2 linked regions of the Neurospora crassa OR74A genome follow. The protein of the gene in region 1 interacts with the protein of each later gene in a biochemical or structural test. Links are inferred from orthologs where the notes say so. Each region holds a gene or a part of one and is shown in the gene's direction. Other genes may lie near its edges.

Evidence for each region.
Region 2: the proteins of NCU10066 (region 1) and NCU01342 form a complex in vitro, tested with the Saccharomyces cerevisiae proteins (2 studies listed by BioGRID, with this or other methods). The link is inferred for Neurospora crassa OR74A from reciprocal best matches to the Saccharomyces cerevisiae genes COP1 and ERV25.

Annotation. Positions count from the first base shown.
Region 1 is NC_026507.1:2,811,650-2,814,665, reverse strand, and holds the end of NCU10066 (coatomer alpha subunit), read left to right. Parts: coding exon 1-1,471; intron 1,472-1,543; coding exon 1,544-1,786; 3' UTR 1,787-2,199; downstream 2,200-3,016. Other genes in the region: rpn-12 (26S proteasome non-ATPase regulatory subunit 8), read right to left, coding at 2,267-2,548, 2,693-3,016. UniProt on the Saccharomyces cerevisiae protein: The coatomer is a cytosolic protein complex that binds to dilysine motifs and reversibly associates with Golgi non-clathrin-coated vesicles, which further mediate biosynthetic protein transport from the ER, via the Golgi up to the trans Golgi network.
Region 2 is NC_026505.1:3,710,366-3,714,070, forward strand, and holds NCU01342 (endoplasmic reticulum vesicle protein 25), read left to right. Parts: upstream 1-1,365; 5' UTR 1,366-1,502; coding exon 1,503-1,706; intron 1,707-1,804; coding exon 1,805-1,928; intron 1,929-2,014; coding exon 2,015-2,318; intron 2,319-2,376; coding exon 2,377-2,395; 3' UTR 2,396-2,967; downstream 2,968-3,705. Other genes in the region: NCU01341 (U1 small nuclear ribonucleoprotein C), read right to left, coding at 167-699, 771-878, 935-944; NCU01343 (TPR repeat protein), read left to right, coding at 3,147-3,390, 3,478-3,705.

The DNA of each region.
Region 1 (3,016 bases):
CGTCCAGGATCCTACTACCAGGTTCGAGCTTGCCATTGAGTGCGGTAATCTCGAGGTCGCTGTTGAGATGGCCAAGCAACTAGACAAGCCCAAGCTCTGGACGAGACTTAGCCAGGAGGCCCTCGCCCATGGTAACCACCAGATCGTGGAGATGTGTTACCAGAAGCTCAAACACTTTGACAAGCTTTCGTTCCTCTACCTCACCACCGGCGATCATGACAAGCTCTCGAGGATGGCCAAGATTGCTGAGCACCGTGGTGACTTCACTTCGAGATTCCAGAACGCCCTTTATCTGGGAGAGGTCCAGGACCGAATCCAGATGTTCAAGGAAATCGATTTGTACCCCCTGGCCTACATGACTGCCAAGTCTCACGGGCTTGAAGACGAGTGCCAGGAAATCCTCGAGGCTACTGGTCTCACAGAAGACCAGCTTTCGATGCCCACCCTGGGTGAACCCCTTACACCGCCCAAGCCCGTGGTTCCCACATACAAGGCTAACTGGCCAACAAAGGCGGCCTCGCAGTCCTTCTTCGAAAAGGCCCTGCTTGGCGAGGTTGAGGGCTTGTCTCTGGAAGACCAGCCCTCTGCCGCTCCCAACGGTTTAGGTCTTGAAGAGGGCGGTGCCGATGAGCCTGCGACCAAGAAGGCCGGTGCTCTTGCTGAAGGCGATGAGGACGAGGATGCTGCGGGCTGGGACATGGGCGATGACATTGTTCCGGAAGTCGAGGAGGGCTTCGTCAACGTGGAAAGCGCGGATGCCGGCGGTGCTGCAAGCAGTGAAGCGGATCTGTGGTCCCGGAACTCACCGCTCGCAGTTGATCACGTCGCTGGTGGTTCCTTTGAGTCGGCAATGCAGCTGCTCAACCGCCAGGTTGGCGCTGTCAACTTTGCTCCGCTCAAGCCTCGCTTCTTGGAGGTTTACCAGGCATCCAAGACTTATCTCCCCGCCGCGGCTAGCCTGGACCCTCTCGTCAACTACGTCCGCAGGAATCCCGAGGAGACGGATCCCAGGAAGGTTCTCCCTATCATCCCCAGGGACCTCGAGTACCTTGCTTCTAATGACCTGCAGCGCGGTTATGACGCGATGAGGGCGAACAAGCTCGAGGATGGTGTCAAGATCTTTAAGGGCATTCTGCACTCCGTCCTTGTCAACGCTGTAGGCAGTGATGGGGAGGTGGCTGAGGCCAAGAAGCTCATCGCTTCAGCCTGCGAGTACTCGGTTGCCATGTCCATTGAGCTGGCCCGCAGGCAACTCGGTTCTCCGGACCAGGTCAACAGCGATCCCTCGCTCCAGAAGCGGAGCTTGGAACTGTCGGCCTACTTCACCATTCCCAAGATCGAGGTTCCCCATCGCCAGCTTGCCTTGCTTAACGCAATGAACCTGGCTGTGCGGAGCAAGAACTACAGCTCTGCCCTTAGCTTCGCTAACAGGATATTGGCCAACGGAGGAGCCACCAAGATCACCGAGAGTGTAAGTGATAACCTACATAACCTTATCCTTTTGCTCCTTTGGTAGAGACACTGACATATTTGAAAATAACAGGCCAAGAGAACCAAGGCGCAATGCGAGCGCAACCCCCATGACGCCGTGGAGATCGAGTTCGATCAGTTTGCCGAGTTTGAGATCTGCGCTGCCAGCTTCACGCCCATCTACAGCGGTACCCCTTACGAGGAGTGCGCATTTGACGGAGCCAAGTACCACACCAAGTACAAGGGCACGGTGTGCACAGTCTGCGAGGTTTGCGAGGTCGGAAAGCACGGTAGTGGCCTGAAGCTGTTTGCTTAAAAGGGGTGGGTTTGTATGCGGTTGGCGCTACACGATGATGGGGGTTTTGATGACAAGTAAAGTAGTAGTTAAAGTACAGTCAAAGTAGGTATAATGATCGCGTTTCTTGCTTTCTTCTGCAGGAAGAACAGGGGAGAAGAGAAAAGGAAAGACAAAACCATTTTGGACGCGCCTGTTGCATAACAATTACTGCCTGCTACCAAGTAAGTTCGTGTGCTATAATCCGAACAGAAAGTCGTGGTCGCATGAATTGTCAGTTAGATAATACCATGCCAGACGCAAGCCGTAATATTATGTATCATGTTTTTGTATACATATAGGCGACACATGGAACACAATGTTAAGTAGTGTATCTGTACGTGGCCTCTGTTCTGCCTATGTAGCTAGATCTCTAAGGACCATCGTTTAAGAACGCTTGCATAAACCAACCCAACCCAACCCATACCACACCGGCCAGCCACTTTGTTGTTTTTCTACTGTTTAGACGATCGTCTCCAACTCCCTAGCATAGCCCAGCGTATTCTCAATGATCAACCGGCTGAAGGGCTTCTCCTGCTCGGCACCGGCCTCCTCCGTCGTCGGCTCAGCAGACGGGAAGTAGATGTGGCCGTCCTTGAGTACCCAGCCGCGGGAGCGGGCGAACTCGACCACTTCGCCCTCGGACTCGAGGAAGAGGAGCGACTTGGTGGAGGAGATGGGAAGCGAGGGGTAGGCGCGCTCGGAGGAGGAGGCGATTTCGGAGCGGATTTGGAAAGTGAGGATCTGTTGACAGTAAGATGCGGTGGTTAGTGATTGATGTGGTACAGATAGTTAATCGTGATATCGTTGCTTGGGGGAGAGCGAGAGAGAAGGACCTAGGGGGAAAAGGTAGAGAAAGCAAGACGCAATAAAAGAAAACCCACGAACCTCGGAAAAAACTCCATACTCCTCACAAGGAACCTCGCCCTTCTTCATTGCCTTCCACACACGATCATAGCTCCCCTCCATCAGCCACCTCTCCAGCTTGATGGGATACCCGAGATATCTATCCGCCTCCAGCTCGCGCGTCGCGCCACCCAGCCTCGTGCTCAGCGCCTCCAGCTCGCTATGGAACTCGGCATACTGTCCCTGCGTCAACAGCAGCAGCAGATACAAGCCCGTGACCTTGTTCTTCTCCTCCCTGTTTGCGTCCGCACCGGCAATCCTGCCACCAGCGGCACCGGTACCGACAGTACTCTCGAGCTCGTAGAA
Region 2 (3,705 bases), on another chromosome or scaffold:
GAATCTTGGTATCGTGTTCCGAGAAAATGAAACCCAATTGTAAACACCAATTGAATGAAATCCGAAACTGAAAGCTGTGAATATTATGCTCGTTTTGGCGGCCTGACCCAGGTTGCTATGTTGTCGTGCCCTTTCTCAAGCTACTCTCATCGTACACCAAACTACTTCACCTCTTGTCGGCACCCGGAGGCCCTTGACCAGGGGCGCCAAAAGGTGGCATACCGGGGAACGCACCTGGCGCACCGGGAGGGGGGAAGGGAAAGTTTCCTGCTCCAGGTGGGGGGAAGGGTAGACCTCCTGGGGGCGGGAATGGCAGACCACCAGGACCGGGCATCGGAGGCGGTACGCCAGGTATACCAGCAGGAGCGCCAGGCATACCAGGAAATGGGGGCATTGGAGGCATTCCGCGAGCTCCTGGCGCTCCAGGAGGAGGAATACCGCCGGGCACGCCTGGGGCACCAAAGGCTCCGGGAGGGGGCACCGGCGCGCCACCGGGCATGCCTGGGAACGGAGGAGGCATGCCGCCAGGGAAAGGCGGGAAGGGGGGAACGCCGGCGCCCGGGGGCGGGAAGCCGAGGCCGGGAGGGACTCCGCCGGGTTGGTTCTGCGGGAGCATAGGATTGGCGTGGGCTTGGCCTTCGGCGGCGTACGAGGAGGTAATCGAATCGATAACGGATTGGGCCTTCTCGTGACCAATCTCTGTAAAACAAAATCGCATTAGTTATGCGGTGAAGTCGGAAATGGTGGATTGGGGGCTTATTGTGCCGTACGTTGGTAGTAGTCAACAACGTTTCGTAAATGGTTACGACCGCTGTTGTGCGCCTTGCGGACGCTCATGGAATCGTGCGTGAGGTACACATCGCAGTAGTCGCAAAAGACTGTACAAGATGTCGTCAGCATCGAGTTGAAGATGAGCGGTCCAAGCAGTACTCACATTTTGGCATTTTGGTAGATTGTGATCGCGAAACCTTTCAAGACGGGGTTATTCGAAATCTCTGTGGCTGCCCTCGGAGAAAGTCGCAAGTTGGATGGCAACAATGATACGGCGCGCGACAACGACGAAGACAAAAGAAGGTTTGCAAGGCTGAAGTGCACTGGACACACACAATGGGACGCGATGACCAAAGCGGGACCAGGTTGGTCCTCGAGGTGCTTGGCAATAGTGGATCCTCTAAGGCTTCCCCAAAAAAGAGCTCCCCTGATCGGTTCGCGGCTGCTGATTGGCACAACAAGGGCACTCCTGCTGTCAAGCCGTTGTGGACATGCTCCAGACCTGTCTCAGCTGTCCTTAAGTTGCCTGCCCAAAGAGAAGCCGCCAGATTTCCCCTAGATCCAAGTCGCGGAGCTATTCCCATTAATACAGACAGCCCACCTTCCGCGATACGATCAGGTCACGCACTGCATAGCTTCGCCGGACTGTGTTGACAACTCGACGACACTTTCAAACTTTTTTTGTCCCGGCCGCCGTCCCACGTTCTAGATCATCCTATCAATCAGCGATCATGGCATCCCTAAAGTCGCTGCTGAGCGGCTTCCTGCTGCTCGCCGGTGCCGCCCAAGCTCTCAAGTTCGACCTTGAGGCTACCTCTTCACACCACAGCAACCAGCGACGATGCATACGGAACTTTGTCAACAAGGACACATTGGTGGTTGTAACGGCTACGCTTGACGGATACAAGGGCGATGGCATGAACGTCAACATGCACGTAGGTGCTCTCCCTCCTGGGTGCAAGTTAAAGGGGCTAGGGGATGGATTATGGGGCGGTCAATTACATGGACGAGTCTGACTTTGGACGCGACACAGATCTCCGATAGCCACGGAAACGAGTACGGCAAGGCCAAGGATATTGCTGGCGAGCAGCGCATCGTCTTCACCTCGCATCACGACGCAGCCTTCGACGTGTGCTTCGAGAACTACCTTACTGGTTGTACGTACATTCCTTGGCCATGACGAAAATTAGCAAAACAACCAGCAAAAGCTCGGATGGGAAACTGACAAGATTGCGATGATCAGCCAAGTATGTCGAGAACCCCCGCCGCCACGTCGAGCTCGATATCGACATTGGTGCCGATGCCAAGGACTGGTCCGCCATCCAGGCCACCGAGAAGCTTAAGCCACTTGAAACCGATCTGCGCCGCATCGAGGAGCTGGTCGGCGAGGTTGTTAACGAAATGGATTACTTGCGCGCTCGTGAGCAGAAGCTCCGTGATACCAATGAGAGCACCAACAACCGTGTTAAGTGGTTTGGCATGGCCACCACTTTCCTCCTCATTGCTCTCTGGGGGTGGCAGATTATGTACCTCAGGGCGTACTTCAGGTTCGTTTTCCCATCTAGCGGAGCAAATGGGTTCAGTTACTAACATAAATCTGCTTAGATCTAAGCATCTTATTTAATGGGCTGGGCGCAACCTACGATGACGACCCACAACTACCACTGTCCAAACTACCTTATTTATTATACGGCTTCATGGTAACGACGGGCGGGAGGTTTTATGAACTCTTTACTACACGCAACGCAGGCGAGCGAATGGCATACAATAGGTTGGAGATTTCTGGTGTAACTATATACGGTAATGTGTTTCAACCAAAAAGTTATGGAGTAAAAAGGAGAATTGACTGCATGCTGAGTGAGCCGTCTACTTTTGGAAGTTCAAGACTATTTGAGAGCGAAAATCTGCCCGGTGCATACCAAGAGAAGTCGCATCCAAAAGGCGTTATGGGCGTCGTGGGCGTTGTTGTGGTGATGAGTCGAAACATGAGCAATTGGCGATAGAGGCACTGGAGACGGTGGCGATGTCATGGATTGACAACGGAGATGCGGAGGGATGAACCGGAACCGGCAACAATTTTTCGGCCTCGGCCCCCATTGTATGATCACTTGCCAAGCCCGCCGAACTAGTGTAAGGGACGGGGTATTGTAGCGTCTGTAATCGGCCCCGAACGGAATCCTACAACAATTCCCATCACTTCGACATCCTCATTTATAAGCCGGAGCAGTTACCTAGTTCGCGCAACGGCACCCTCTCCACACTATCCGCTTCATCCGAGCGATTTACACACCTAACCTTGGCCGTCGCTCTATTTCGGCTACAACAATCCGTCTTCAGTCAGTTCGCCAAAAGCACCTAGACAAATCGTCGCAACAATGGCTTCCTCTCTTCGCGCCCTCCGGCCCGCGGCCGCCACCTTTGCGCGCGCTGCCGCTGTGCGCCCCGCCTCCGTCGCCAGCAGACACGTCATTGCCTTTTCGCGATCGGCCAGCAACGACAGCACAGATAACCAGCAAAAGAAGGACCTCGACGTCGGCGAACTGCAAGGCGCCACCTTCAAGATCGAGCCGCTCCGGAGAGTCGGCGAGGACCCCGCCACCATGCGGGCGCGTCTCCTTTGTACGTTTTATCTCTCCCTTCGCTAATCCTTATCTTCATCACCTACATGTAAACCCAACGAACTAACTCCCCTTCCTCTCCTTCTAGACCAATCTCGCAAACGCGGCACCCTCGAATCCGACCTGATCCTCTCCACTTTCGCCGCCGCCCACCTCGGCTCCATGACGCCCGAACAACTGAAGCAATACGACTTGTTTCTTGACGAAAACGACTGGGACATTTACTACTGGGCCACGCAAGAACCCCCCTTGCCCGGCCAGGAGAACCAACATCTCCAACAAAACTCCGAGGAGGCTTCTTTGTCAGAGAAGAAGG